2 linked regions of the Diceros bicornis minor genome follow. The protein of the gene in region 2 binds, or shares a complex with, the protein of the main gene of each other region. Links are inferred from orthologs where the notes say so. Each region holds a gene or a part of one and is shown on either strand. Other genes may lie near its edges.

Region 1 (7,872 bases), about 19 Mb from region 2:
GACTTAAACCCAGGTCTCCTGATTCCTTAATCTGTTTTCTTCTTACCACATCACTTTGGCAGACTGCCACATACTACTGGGCACATAAATACATTCTGACAATAACTGATCACAAAATTTTTATCGGCAACTAATTTTAGCTTTGCGAAAAGGAAAAAAAAATACATCTATTTAACTTGGAGGGAGAAGGGGTTTGAAAATATAAAATATAAATTACCGCAAACCGCAGGACAGGTTGTACCATAGCACTTTTGTACAAACAGAAATTATGACAAGAAACAGAAAGTTCTCTCTGGGTTTATGAGGAACAATTGGAGAAAGAAACAAGAATGACTATGATTAAAGGAACTTAAGGGGTTTTTTTGGTAAACCAAACCACTGGGCAAAAAGATTTGTATTCCATTCCAAAATAAGTCTATCAAGGCTGAGACATATCTTAAAGAAAGAGACTTCAGTGTGTTAACAACAAAACTTTTTCTTCAATTCCTTTAAAGAGTGAGATAAACAGGAAGAGCGAGAAAAATTGTCAACATAAACTGCCAATATTCATGAAGATCCTTGAAGACCATAAATGTTTAGATCAGTATTAATAAGGAGCATGATCAAAAGAAAAAAAGTTTCATAAGTTTTCTAACATGTTAAAAATAGTTTGAAAATTATATGGTGTAAAATTAAGTTATTACCATGCTAATAAAAATAACCAACTGTTTTCAAGTGATATGCATAACTAATTTTTTTCAAGCGACATACATAACTCCTTCCAGGACAAGTTCTAGAAAACATTCAAACAAGTTCACATCTTTAATAATCCCCAAGAACTTTCTTACTAAAAGAGAAGATAGAATAATTCAGTCACATTCTGAACCTGCAAATTTCGGAAAGGAAATGCCAAATGAGAGCTTGATCTGACACTGACAGAACACAAGATTTAACCAAGAAAGGTAAAAGTTGAGTGAATTTCTATGACAAAGCAGGTGAGAAGCTGATAAGAAGCTGTATCCCTGTAACCTCCCCCCACTACAACCAAATTTCTTATCCTCTTCAATTCAACTTAAACCTCTGCTAATTATTTCCTACAGAAACATAAAATGTTCCTAACATTTCTTTGTGACACTCATAGCAAACTCCATTTCATTAGGAGCCACTGAGATACTAACTCTAAATTCTATGCAGAATCTATCCAACCCCAGGGGATAATGTGCTTCCTTCTCTAAAGTCTCTCCTCTGATATAAATTCTCTTCTATCATAAAAAATCTTTCAGAGAACACACATTCTCAGCCTAACTTCCCAATCTAGATTCTCCATAAAGATAGTCTGATGGCTCTTCATTAATCCCTTTCTGGAAGTACTGAGGTCCTGGTAACTAGGAAAAATCACTCATGATCAAGGGCCCTTCATTTAAATCTTGCTGAATTCACCAAAAGAAAAAAATTAGAGGAAAAATAATCTTTCCAAAACTCATATGAGAATTCTGAAATTATTAAAGGAACATAGATTTGTATAGTTTCCACCCAAGGACTAGGAATTTAGTCTGTTCTCCCTTAAAACCATTCTCCTACTGATTCTACATACCATGGAAATACTTATTCAACCTAGAATGACCTCTAGGCTGATTATTTTTTTCAACAGTTACACGAATTAGGATCGTGACACTAAATCCAATGAAAATAAAATGAGTAAGAACACTTAGTCCTCCAAGTTTCCAAGTTGGGAGAGAAAAGGAAAACATACTGGAGTTCCCAGAATATTAACTTTCAATTTAAATATCTCAATATTTGAATGATTCCTACACACAGCCTTTTTAACTCTAATACATGCAGTAACTAAGCCACTAATTAAATATGATAAATCTGTTCCAAAAAAGACTCCTTAGGTTTCCTTTGGATTCTTCCTAGAAAGCAAACTCTCTCAGGACAGATATCTGACTTCAAAATTTGACCATCCTCTGTTGGACATTAACTACTCAACAGCACAGTTGAAAGATTTTCACTGAAAAACAGGCTGAGGAGAAGGAAGCGAAGTATCAACCAGAACGCAAACTGGACAGCAAACTAAATTTTCTATCAACAAAGAAAAAGAAATTGTCATTGCTACTCTCGCTAAAATGATACAGACTTTAAAAAGCAAAACCGGCCACAAGATCACACAGTCTCTTTACTTCTGAAGTCTCCAGTGACAGAATCTATATTCCTAAGGAGGAGGGAACACAGATAATCAAAAGGCAAATCACTGCGTGCATAAACTGACTGGTAAAATGAAAAAAAAAAAAGTGAACGGGCAAATGACAAAAAAATGACTTACGGTGCAGTTAAAGATGTGCCGGGGATACGGGGCAAAGCCACGTCCCAGACCTCAGCCTCAGTTTCCCTACCCGAAAAAGGCGAGAACACGACACCTCGCTCAGAGGAGCCAGAGGGCCTTGTTCCACAAGCCTCCACCTACTCAAGGGTCCCTTCAAAGGCCGGACTCACAGGGGGTCCCCAATGCAATTGAGTCATGACACCCAGAGCCTTGAGGGCGGGGAGGGGGGAGAAGAAAGGGAGGAGGGTCAAAGCGCGCAAAGCTCTATCCGTTCCTGGAAAGCGATTTTCCCCACACTCTGGGGGTGCGACACCCACCCTAGACCCAACAACCCCTCCCTACCGAACCACACTGGGCGGCCCCAACATCTTTTCCTCTCTCCGGCTTCTCCCTCAGTTCTCCGCCGCCTCTCCGACCGCGCCCCCGAACCCAGCCGGGTGGCTCCTCCTCTGGCCGAGTCTTCGCGGCCGACCCGCCCGCCCACCCGCCGGCGCCAAGGTCTTCTCAACCCGGCGGCGGAAGGATGCCGGGCCCAGCCTCCCAGGCTCCTCCAGGCCTACCTGCAAGGCGGGCGGGGAGTCAGTTTGCTGCCCAGTGGGGGGACTGAGCCACAGAGAGGAAGAAGAGGCAGGAAGGTAGCAAGGGATCCGCTCCACCGACCAGCGGGAGAAAGCAGCCTGAGCGCGGGGCCTCGCGGAAAAGTCAGCCTTCGACCCGGCGCCGCCGCGCCTCAGGAGACATCAAGCAAGAAGACGGCGCAAAAGATCACCGAATACACGAACGCCCCAGACATCAATGGAGGAGCGCGCAGGCGATCGTTCAAGGAACTGCAGTCGAGCACCGAAAAACAGCTCCGCTCCGACTCAAGGTCCGGCTCCTGTCCAAGGCATAAACAAACAAACCCAGATCATAAGCCATGGAGTAAAGGAGTCTGTGCTTCTGGCATTTTCTGTGTCGGTTGCCGGCTGTTTTAGTTATTTAGAGAACCGGAGTTTTTATTGAGAGTGTTGAAGATTAAGTCATAGTACATAACACTTGTTATCTAACTATAGTTCAGCGACTACCTTAGGGGCTCCGGAAACTATCCCATTGAGCAAATTTGACTCAGTTTTCGCACAGTGAGTTAGTGTAGTGAGTGAGTTAGTGACTCAGTTTCTCACAGAATGGTGAAGCGAATAAAGGATATATATGTGATAGAGGCACAAAGAGAGAATCCAGACTGAGGAACAAAGTGAATAATCTCTATTTAAAGCTCCAATTTAGCTCCTGTAAGCATAGCATGGAGAAGCTGGGAAAATTCAGGGTTGTGTAGTCTGACCTTAAGGCAGGAAAAAAAGTAATATACGTACTGCTTTTCTCTTTTATTTTCTTCCAAAGGCCTAGAACCACAGGTGTGCTTACTAAATGAACAAAAGTCTCTTTGGGTTCAGAACCTGTCAAAGTGTGTTGACATTTTCTTCCTCACAATAGCCTCTTTCTGAAGTCTCTTAGTAGGCAACCTAATATGCTTAGCGCAAATATGGATTAATATGTGCATCCTAGGGACAATTCAATAAATCACATAGTCAGATCACTACAAATATGGATTACCAAGTGTGAGCAATAACACAGTTGACCGTACCTCCTCCTAAGGAGGGGGGAGACTTGCAGAGTAAAGATGTAAAAAGGAAACAAGATAGTCCCAGCCCTTAAAGAGCTTATAATCTAATCAAAGTGAAAGACGCCATCCTTACAACATTAGCTTTATTTACAATTTATTGTAATTATTTTTACTTGATTTTTTCTTTTTTTGGTGTGGAAGATTGGCCCTGAGCTAACATCTGTTGCCAATTCTCCACCTTATGTTTTTTTTTTTTTTTTTTTTTCGCTTGAGGAAGATTGTCCCTGAGCTGACATCTGTGCGAATCTTCCTCTATTTTGTTTGTGGGACAGACGTCACCACAGCATGGCTTGATGAGCAGTGTGTAGGTCCACAACCAGGATCTGAACCTGTGAACCCTGGGCCTCCGAAGCAGAGCAGGCGAACTTAACCACTGCACCACCAGGCTGACCCCAATTTATTGTAATTTTTAAAAAAATCTCCTCCTGGGGCCGGCCCCGTGGCTTAGCGGTTAAGTGCGCGCGCTCCGCTGCTGGCGGCCCGGGTTCGGATCCCGGGATCGCACCGACGCGCCGCTTCTCCGGCCACGCTGAGGCCGCGTCCCACATACAGCAACTAGAAGGATGTGCAGCTATGACAGACAGCTATCTACTGGGGCGTTGGGGGAAAAATAAATAAATAAAATCTTTAAAAAAAAAAAAAAATCTCCTCCTGTAAGTCCGTGAAAATACTGAAGGGACAACTCATATATATAATGGAAGATAAAACAGCATCCATAATATGAGGACAAAACACTGGGCTTTTGTTGTCTACCACTGTTTTAGGAGACTTTTAAAATCAGTAAACATTATAGCAACATTTACGAAAGTCTAAAACTAAAGAAAGAATTAATAATCTGCATCCAAAACACAAAGTTTTAATTTGTTCATGTTCCCATGCAGTCCTTGGAAATATCCTACATAATTTTTTAAAGTTTAAGCAGAGAGGGCCAGCGCCCTGGCGTAGCGGTTAAGTGCACGCCCTCCGCTACTGGCGGCCCGGGTTCAGATCCTGGGCGTGCACCGCCACACGGATTCTCCGGCCATGCTGAGGCCGCGTCCCACGTACAGCAACTAGAAGGATGTGCAGCTGTGACATACAACTATCTACTGGGGCTTTGGGGGAAAAACAAATAAATAAATTAAAGTTTAATTAAAGTTTAAGCAGAGATACAACACTGTTATTGTTTTGCATTATATTGTTTCCCTATTAAAGTCTTTAGTAGTTGTTATTTTTAACAATTGCACAATATTCCATTGAGAGGATATACTGACCATGAGCCCCATTGTTGAATTTGTATGTTGCTTCCAAACGTTTTCTGCATAATAGGTATTGATGATCTTGGAAAGAGGCAGTTATAACTTTATTATTTATTATTAAGACCTATTGCACATAAACAAAAAGAGTAAGGAAGCAAGGTATCGGTCTATTTCTCTGTCATGTAAAAGAAATCCAGAGATGTACAGCCTAGGGTAAGGTGTGGCCGTTCAGTGTTAGGGACCAGGCTTCTATCTTGTTGCATTGACATCTTCAATAAGTGGCTTTCATCTCAGGTCCAAGACAGCTGCTCTAGCTCTAGACGTCATGTCTACATTCCACCCAGCAGGAAGCTGAAAGAGGAAAGGCATGTCTCCTAGCCATAAGGACACATCTTGAAAATAGCACAGGACATTTCCACTTATATGCCGCTGGTCAGAATTTAGTCACACAGCCACACCTAACTGGGAGTTAGTCTTTATGCCGGGCAGCCATGTACCCGTAAAAGTCAGGGGCAAATGGAAAAGAGGACAATTAAATAAGCAGTCTCTGGCACATTCCTGGAGCCAGATGAGGAGTGCGCAAATAGACTTTCCTTTGCTGTCATCCCAGGGCTGAGTTTCTACTGCTAGAACACAGGCTTTAGAGAAGCTTCCTTCTTGGAGAGGCTTGTGGGGCATAACTTTGTAGAGTTACAGCCTCATTCAAATTTGACCCAGATAACGACATTATTTTGAAACCTTGATTTCAGTGAGAAAAACTAAAGAAACTAACTTCAAGGCACAAGAAGTTGTTGGTTTTTTAAATGCCGGAGGCTTTTATTTTGGGGAAAACACCTGAAGGTTATGCAAATATAAATCCAAAATCATCGTCTGAAAATGGAGATATTTGAGAAGCTTAGACTAGCCTGTGAAACCATGGAAAAGACGGCTCATTCTGCAGGCAGAGTTGCATCTCTACAGATAAATTTCTTCAGAGAACTCTTTCTTTTCTAGTGTGGATTTAGACTTCAGTGTGACCACAAACTACTGCTTGTTCTTATGGAGAAGTCTATCTGGACAGAAGAGTAGATCAACAGATCAGGAATTGAAACCCTCAAAGCTACAGGAATCTCCTCACACAGGAGGAAGACTTGAAAAAAAGAAACCAGGTGGGCAGAAGTAAACATAATCCTGGGATGTACCACTGATGCCTACATATTGGTATTAAGACTCAATAACTCATTATTATTTTGATTGTTGATTATTGTATTCTGATAAGATTCTCCTCTGGGAGCTATCCCCTTGGAGGTAAGATCACACTTCCCCTGAAGTAGGGTGACCAACTGTCCCAGTTTGCTGAAGACTAAGAGGTTTCCCAGGACACAGGACTTTCAGTGCTAAAACTGCGACAGCTCTGGGCAAACTGGGACAGTTGGTCACCCTAAGAATGGATCTAGCCACTGTCAATCACGTGAAAAAAATTTGGCAAGTCTAAACCAGGAAAAGAGGATTGGGACATGTTGACCTGGGAGAATTGCCTGGGATGAAGGGTGAAGAGAGGGGAAAGGAGAGAAGGGGAGAAGTCTGTTCCTTATCTTGGCTCTGGGAGCTGAGAAACATCTACCACACTCTGGGTGGTAGAAATCAGGCCTGAACCTAGGATGAGGTAACTCTGTAGCAGTACCATGAGTCGTCTTATTAGGAAGTCCAGGAAGAGGAGTCAGGCCTCAAGCAGCCAAAATGATGAGCCAGTAGCAGGTTTTGCTGTTGCAATTCTATTCTGTTCTTTTGTAGCCTGGTCTCATAGCTCTGTGGGGCTGTGGGGCATACACACTTTGGGCTGGCTGGGAAAGGTGGAAGCAGTCTAGTGATGTAGGAGAAGTCCAGGGAAGGGAGGAGATCCCAGAACAGCAAGTAAGCATTTACAGTAGAATGATAGAAGGCTCTTCCTTCTTTGGAATGATTGATATAGGATAAATTTCCAGTGGTGGGATTTATCACTGGATTGAAATGTATGAACATTTTAACAGTCTAGAATGACCAAGAAATCAGCCCTTCCATAAAGATAGGTGTATATGTAAGGATTAGAAAAGTCTCAACAGAATGATAGATCTTTAATGTTTGGCTGGGTAAACATGGAGATTCCTTTCAAACGGACTTTTTGAAATTTACTAACCTACGATTTCAAGGTCTACTTTTCGTGCTCCTGTTTAGCATCCAAAGATTTTCTCTCTCCCATTTGATTGTCACAAAGTGGGTCTTAGATTGTAGTCACAGAAAACAAAAAGCCTGTGAACTTGATGTTAGGGAACTGGGGTGTCCCCAGCCTCCAGCAAGTGTTTTCCCTTCCTTCCCTCATTGCCATCCTTACAACCAACACAGTCCTACTTAATTTGGAGTCCCTGACCTCTTATACCCACAATTTCATAAAATCTGGGTGGGATCTGGAGAGCACTATGGGTCCTAAGAATATGTGCATGCACAATTGTTAAGATCGCTTGATTCCTTTCTTTCTTGTCCTCCTCCGAACTTCCCTTCCATTGCCAGGGAAAGCGACTGGGGAGCCCAGTCTTTGAGTTGTTTTCAGTTTATTGTTTCAGGTAGGGATACAATCGTAGTATGTCTATTATCTGTCTAGCTTTTATTTTATCCCTTTCCCCACCTCTTATATGTCTTCACTCTGTGACTCCATT
Region 2 (7,349 bases):
CCATCGCGAAGGCACTGCATGGTAGCCGCCCGCCCCCGGGGGGCAGCACCCCTCCATCCAGCACAAACCGCCCAAGCCCTCTGCTCAACAGAACAGAGACGGAGGAGCGCTTCCCAGGGCAGGCGGGGCCGGGGGAGCATCAGATGGGGAAACTGAGTCAGAGGGCAGGAAGCTCCGCCGGGGGACCCCCAGGGAGGCCGGGGCAGCAGGCCAGCCGCCCTACCTGTGGCGCAGAGGGCGACGAAGGTCTGCGCGTGCTTGCGGATGATCTGTTGGTTGTCCTCCGCCACCGGCATTTTGGAGAGGAAGTGCTCGATGAAATCGTGCGGGGTCATGGCTGCCAGGTTCCATTTCAGCTTGTTCACCAGGAGCAGCTCCATTTGCTGTGGAAACGGGGTGGACGAGCATAAAGAGGCGCGCAGGGCAGCCGCGGGGGCGGGGGGACAGGGGCCTGGAGAGAAGGGATGGGGGATGTCGGGCTCCAGGAAGAGGGGGACAACACGCGATCCCAGGTCAAAAAAGAGAAGGTGCCGCCGGCAAACGCTCCTGCTCACGGTTAAGCCGCCTGTTCCCAAGTGGACACAAAAAAGACCTCCCACACCCGGGACACGCCGCCCGGTCGTAAACGCGCTGCCGCCGCTAGAGGGCGCGCGCCGCCCACTTTTCGGGCGCGTCCGGGGCGCAGACGCGGTGGGAGTCCGAGCGAAAGTGCGAGGTGGGGCGGCGGGGACGGCGGCGGGGACGGGGGGCGCCGGGGGTCGCGCCGGCTCCTCGAGGCGGGGGCCCCCAAGCAGTGTGGCCGCCCGCCCTCGGGGCCCAGGGTCTGTCAGCAGCCGGCCGGGGCCCCCCACCTCTGCACCTCCCCCACCCCCGGGGTCCCGCGGCTACTGGGGCGTCGGTGGGCGGCGGGGGTCGCGGGGTTACCAGCAGCTCGTCGGGCCGGATGGAGTTGTCAGTGTAGATGCACAGCTTCTCGGCCGTCAGGGGGATGGTCTCCTTCATCTTGGAGGCCACGAACATGCAGGTAGCCCCCAGCAGCTGCAGGCGGCTCTTCTTCACGGGCTCCAGCGACAGGAAGCGGTCCAGGTAGTTCATGGCCAGCGGGAAGACCTCCTCCTCGCACTTCTGCTCCTCGCAGACCTGCCGGGGCACCGGGGCCGTGACCGCCGCCGCGCGCGCGCCGGGCCCCCTCCGCGGAGACCCCGCGCCCCCCACCCCGCGCGCGCCGGCCCGCGGGGCCCCGAGCGCGCCGAGGGTCGCGGCAGGGGGCCGCAGACGCTTCCGGGGACGCGCCCCCTCCCCCGGGTGTCCCCAATACCCACCCACCCTGAAACTGAAAGGGAAAGTCCCCGCGAGGCTGGCACGGCGGGGGCGGGAGCGGGCACGGCTGGGCGGCATGCGCCGCGCGCGGGCTGCCAGCCCCCGAGACCCCGGCCCGCGTGGGGGCTCCGGGGCCCGCCTGGCCGGGGGTCGGCACGAAACGGGGTGCGGGGCCGCGGGGCGGACCGCGGGGCCGGGCGCCGCGCTCGCTGCGCCTGCGAGACACAAAGGTGGCGTCCCAGGCCGCCGCGCCGCATTTCCCCAGACGTCATCTTTTCAAAAAATATTTAAAAATATAAAAAAATTATTTGAGTACATAAAAAACCCATGAAAATGACCCTCGGACGGCCCTTTACCCAGTCCGGGGGTCGGGAGCTCGTTGCAGGCTCGGGGGAGAGCCCCAGGAATTAAAACTCGGCCCCCCCCCCTCCCCTTGGGCGCGGGCGCCGCTTCCCTCTCGCAAGGGCACCACGCCGCACTTTCAAAAATTATTTTAAAATACTTGCGGGCGCCCCAGGCACCCACTGAAAGCCTGAAAATGTGACCCGGGCCCCCGGCTCGCTCCACACAGGTCCCCCAAGCTGAGACCCCTGCAGACAAGGGTCAGTCCCTAGCCTCCTGGGGGCCACGCGACCTTGCAGCCCGGCGTGCTCTCCGGCCCAGGCTGGCAGTGCGGGGCGCCCCGGGACTCGGTGCTTGAACAAAGGGGCCCCCCTTCCCGAGCGGGGTCCCCCCAAAACTGCCCGCGCTCTGTCCCCGCGCCCCTCCCGGCGGCCGCGCGGCCCCTCGCGGCGGCCCCAGCGCCTCGCCGGCCGCTCCCCGCCCCCACCCTGCCCCCAATTATTAATAAACACTTTTGCTTTGCAATAAAAGAACAAAGATGGCGCATAATACTGGCACGAGCGGCCCTTGCATACGTGTCCATGGGTATTAATTTAAAAATCAAATCTATGCCCCCTCCCCCTGGAGCTGGCGGCTCAGTGGCCGCGCGGCCGGGAGAGGAGGCACAGCCGGGCACGGGCGCAGGCGGGGGTGCGCGGTGGCGGCCCAGGAGGGGACCATAAGGGGCGCCCAGCCTGCTGGCCCGCACCCTCGAGTCAATTGGGGTGCCCCTGGCACGGGCTTTCCCCGAAGGCACCCCTCCCCGACCGCTCCCCGCCCCCCCCAGGAAAGAGTATTTCTAATTCCCCCACCCCCTCCTCGTGCAAAAAACACCCACAATATCTATGTATTTTGAAAATACGACTCCTAGCAACAGTCCCGCAAACTTCAAAGTTGGGGTGAGAGAGAAGGGAGGGAGACGAGTGGCAAAGAAATGTGGGTCTGAGCAACAAGTTGCAGGAAAGTCTCAAGAGAACCGCCGAAGCCCCGCACCTCCAGCATCCATGTGGCCACGATCTTCCGCATGGACGGCAGGATCTCCTTCTGCACACACTTGAAGTAGGACACCGAGGGCGCGCAGGTCTCCTCCGCCTTGAGCATGGCCCGCAGCACCCGGTCGTTGAGGAGGTTGGCATCGGGGTACGCCCGGCGGATGGTCTCCCCCTCGCAGCACAGGAGCTGGTGTGCCATGGCTGGGGCTCTGCTGGGTGGCCTGGGGCGGGCGGTGGGTCCCCGGGGCTCGGTCTGGGCTCGGCTCTCGCTCCTGCTGCCCCGCGCTCCCTCGAGCTCTTCTGCCCCTCGCCGGAGCGCGCGGACGCTGCTGCTCGCTGCTACTGCGCCGACAGCCCTCTGGAGGCTCCAGGACTTTGCAACTTCCAACAAAACTCCCCTGTAGTCCGTGTGACGTTACTGTTGTTAAGCAGAGATCAAAGCCGGGCAGAGAATGGGAGCGGGGGTGGGGGGGGCGGGGGCGGGCGCAGGGGGAGGGGGCGCGGGCGCCGAGCGCTGGGGAGCGGCGAGGGGCAGAGCCCAAAAGCCATCCCGGAGGCGCCGCGCCTGCCCCGCGGCGGAGTTGCCCCCGAAGCCCGGTTTTCATAGAAATGCAAATCGCCCCATGGCTGCCTTTCTCCCCGCTGGGGAAGAGGGGTGCAGGGGGGTCTGTCCTCCCCGAGTGGGTCCCCTGGGATTTTGAGGGTGGGGTGGAGGTGGCTCTGCAGAGAGGGACAACTAGGAGGGCGGGCAGGCCACACGCAGCCGGGGAGACCGCATGGAGGGGGGACTCTGGGGCTCGGCGACACCCTATATCCGAGCCGGGAGAATGGGCGCATTTCCGAGAACGCCACGAGGGCACCCACGGGCGAAGAGGCCGCCAAGGAATCTCAGCGTTTACATCTTCATTTTCATTAACACGTGTAAATTTCAGGAACCATTTAACGCTCAGGGACGTAGGGCAGAGCCCACACTCCCGGTGGAGGCTTCATTCCGGCGCACAGGGGGGTCGTTGCAAATGCCCAGGGGGTAACCCTAAACGTTAAAGGGATTTCAACCTAGCATGCGCTAGCGCAAAAAATAAAATAAAATAAATGCCCGAAAATTCCAGCAGCAGCCCAAGATGGTGGCCAGCATTTCCTTCATCCTGTCCTCCTCGCCGGGGGGATCTCCGGGCTGTCTTCCCACCTTAGGCAGTCCATCCTTGCGGGGGTCTCCAAATGCCCCCCCCACCACGTCCCGCCAATTTAACAGCTGGAAAAACACCACTGAATGGAAGGCTGCAAAACGGGTCTCTGTCTTGTCTCACTTTTTAATTAAAGAATAAATTAAATCGCTGGAACTATTAGTCGCCTCTCTGCCTGGGAGAAGACCACCGGAAGCGTCCTAATTGGTTTTGTTAGGGGTGTGGACACCTTATCACCTTTAGAATTTGCCCTGGGGCTGCATTCGTGAGCTTGAAGGGGATGGCAGGAGCTTGCAAAAAGTAGGACAATTATTAAGTTAAAGAAATGGGTGTGTTGATCTGATAATTTTAAACAAAATCTATATATGTTCGTGGTTTTATGAGAGGGTCCCCAATATTATCGCAACCTTCAGAGACATACAAAAGAATAAAGTGTTTTTTTAATCAAAGATTCTTCTTGGTGCATTTTTTTTAATAAAAAGACATTTTACCCAGTCTTAACATTTTTTTTTACAGTTTTTACACTACCTGCCCCAAATTAAGAAAACTGTTCATTTACTTCCCTCTGAATACAGTTTAGTGTCATCAAACCACCGGATCCCCTAACAGTAAAGACGCAAAGAAAACGGATAAAAAAGCCCCCTCCCCTTCACAAGGGCGCACGCAGCAAGATAAGACTCTCCGCCCTTTCGGGGCTGATTGTTCCTGCGCCCCCTCCCCCGCCGGGAATTAGGGTTACTAATATTCAGGGTCCGGGAGGGTAATTACCCCCGGCTCACGCCTCCGAAGTGGTGGGTGGCCCGAACAGGGAGCGCCCCCCGCCGTGTCCCCCTCCCCGGGCACCCACGCTCACGCCGGCCCGGGGGCACGGCGGAGCCTCGGAGCATCAGCCCGCGCACGAGGGCTGCCGACTGCTTTTTCATTCATAAAATCCCGACCGGGCGGCCGCCCCGATGATTTATGGGGCCGCGCGCTCTCGCCTGGCGACTCCCGTCCCGGGGGGCGTGGGGGCCCGAGCCTCGCGTGCGCCCCGGCCCTGCCCGAGGCGGGCGGGCGACAGCGAGGGGCAGCGGGGCATAAGGAGGCTCGCCCACTCCGGCAAAAGGGGCTCCAGGTCCAGGAGGGAGCTTCCCCCCAACCCGGGAGAAAGACAGAGGAAACTGGAATTAGCATGAGCCAATGGGGGCGCGGCGCTGTTACTAGGCGGACCGGGCAGATCTCGACGAGGAACTTCGTTGATTTCCCCGCTCAGGGACGGGCGCAAAAGTGCAAGCCCAGCCGGCGAGCGTGAAGAGCCGTCCAGGAACCCGCGGGGGAGGCGCTGGAATTTGGAGCCGGGCAGGGAGCTCCAGCCGCCCAGCCCCCACCCCGGGGAGCCCCGATCTGCGTGTCCCGGAGCCCCCGAGGGGGCCAACAGCCCCGGGCCCTGGAGGGCGATTGCTTCTAGGAGACAAAATAAAAATTTTGATTTTAATTTTTTTTTCCCAGAGAAAAGCAATTTTTAAAAAGTTTTCTGTTGCAGTTTTAATTTTTCACTGCCTTTAAAAACCCACCAAGAAGCGGGAACTGCGAATTCTGGGCTCTGCGCTTATTTCTTGGTGACCATTTGGAGACAAAAGGCTGGTGGCACAGTCGGGAGGGAAACCACTTTGATTGGAAAGAAAATCCAAAAGTAACTTAAATCACCTTCCCACTTTCCTCGCCCCCCGGCCCCCCACTGGGGCGACCACGGCCGGGGCGGATCGTCCACCCGGAGAGGGCGAATTCCGCGGCAGGCGCGTTTGCCACCGTCCCTGGCTGTGGGAATCTTCATTCAAGGCGGGGGAAGGGAGTGCGTTCATTCAGGAACCAGCGCGCCGCGGCGCCGACTCCGGGACGCACCGCGGCTGCGCGCTGCCCAGTGAGGGGCTTTGGGAAGGGGTTGCAGACCCCAGTGGAGACCTTCCACCAACGTTGACCTCTGACACCCGCCCTCTCCCCAGAGGACCGGGGCGGCGGGCGGGCGGGCGCAGCAAGGTGGGGTCACCTGCAGCCGCATACCTGGCGGCGACTTGAAAGGACTTGGCTCCGGCTCCGCGAGTTTTCCATTGTTAAGCCCTTAAGTAGCCCTGGAAAACGCTTCCGAATGTGGGCCGCGGGGTTCCGGGGCGCTTGGGCTCCCCTTCCCCCACGCTTCTCGCTTTGGGGGCACGCATGGCGGTCCACGTGCTGCGGTAGCTCCTGGGCTACGCGGTGCCGATCCCCCGCGCCCCAAAGCTGCGGGACGCGCTGGGGCGAACTCTGGCCCAGGCGCCCACCCGGGACAGTCACACGCTGGGAACGGGGGCAGCCGCACCTCCCACCGCCCCAAGCCACGGACGTGCGTTTCCGCCTCTGATCAGTTAATTTCAGGCACACACAGATTACCCCTCTTTCGCGTGCCCCCGTCCTGGGTCGGGCAGGCTGCGGGGCCGGGACACCCCTCCCCCACCTCTGAAGGCGGTGGGCGAGGTGTGTGCTGGAGTTAAAAACCAAACCCCAACGTGGGGGGGGGGGGGAGGCTGACTCCCAACGCCTCTGGGATCCCAAGGGAAAAGGTGCACACTTGGGGGCGAAAGAAGATTCTAACTCCTTGACCTCCGGCCCTCAAAACGCATCGCCTGGTGCCCGAAGCAATAGGAAACCCCAAAGTCTACTAGGAATTCCATGGCCTCTTGGCTCAGGCCCCTGGCCGAGTGTCGTGGAGTGGGCGCCCAGATTGAGAAAATAACCACCTCCAACCAAGGCAAAGAAATCGGACGGGAGGTGGGGGTAATGACCTAAGAGGCCTTGTCCCTCCCGCGTCTCCCGTGGCCAAGCAGGGCCGCGGCCTGCCCGAGGCGAGCAGACTCCCGCCCCGGACGAGGGCGCAGGGCGCTGCTGGGGAGACTCGCGGGGCCTCGGAAACCGGCGGCGGCGGCTCTCGGGAGCCGGACCTTCCCGGGGGCGGGCCCGCGCTAAGACCCTCGTCTCCGGCGGCGCCGCCGCCCCGCCCGGGAAGGGCTCGACGCCCCATCCCTCGCCTCCAGGACTTGTCACTCGCCCCCCCATCCCTGCCCTTTCCCGGGGACTGTCTGCGGGGAGGCCCCGCAACCTCGTGCCTTCCAGCCTGCTTCTTTGTGCCCTTGAAATGCCCCAAAACATTTCCATCCTTCGTCTTGGCCCTGGGGGTGGGTGGAGGGACGGTCGGGGGCTTTATTAGAGGGAATCTCCGAGTTCTGGGGCTCGGACACTTGCCAGGAGGGGAGGGGGAAAGGGATTTTTTTTTTCCAGGTGCGGAGAGAGGGGTTGCATACTTAACGCCCTGCACCCCTCTCCTTGGGTCCCTCGGCCTCGCGCCGTCGGGGCTGGTGGCAGGACACGGGTTTGGACCCACCGAGGAGTTCTGGGTGCGAGGGGTCTGAGGGGCCGATGGGCGGCGCTCCATCCCCAAGCCCCGCCCGGGTGCTTGTGC

What was found.
Region 1: the proteins of CCND1 (region 2) and AMBRA1 are in contact, whole or in part, in a cryo-EM structure (PDB 9IVD), measured with the Homo sapiens proteins. The link is inferred for Diceros bicornis minor from reciprocal best matches to the Homo sapiens genes CCND1 and AMBRA1. Residues at the interface, in NP_444284.1 of Homo sapiens: Thr286, Pro287, Thr288, Asp289, Val290, Arg291, Val293, Asp294, Ile295; in NP_001354397.1 of Homo sapiens: Arg54, Ser55, Phe57, Val73, His75, Arg96, Thr97, Trp99, Leu116, Ala139, Arg184, Ile945, Asn1012, Asn1029.

What each region holds. Positions count from the first base shown.
Region 1 is NC_080770.1:23,673,504-23,681,375, reverse strand, and holds the start of AMBRA1 (activating molecule in BECN1-regulated autophagy protein 1), read right to left. Parts: upstream 3,053-7,872; 5' UTR 2,863-3,052; intron 2,822-2,862; exon of another isoform or gene 2,645-2,821; intron 1-2,644. UniProt on the Homo sapiens protein: Substrate-recognition component of a DCX (DDB1-CUL4-X-box) E3 ubiquitin-protein ligase complex involved in cell cycle control and autophagy.
Region 2 is NC_080770.1:4,497,169-4,504,517, forward strand, and holds the start of CCND1 (G1/S-specific cyclin-D1), read right to left. Parts: upstream 3,056-7,349; 5' UTR 2,893-3,055; coding exon 2,695-2,892; intron 1,141-2,694; coding exon 925-1,140; intron 384-924; coding exon 224-383; intron 1-223. UniProt on the Homo sapiens protein: Regulatory component of the cyclin D1-CDK4 (DC) complex that phosphorylates and inhibits members of the retinoblastoma (RB) protein family including RB1 and regulates the cell-cycle during G(1)/S transition.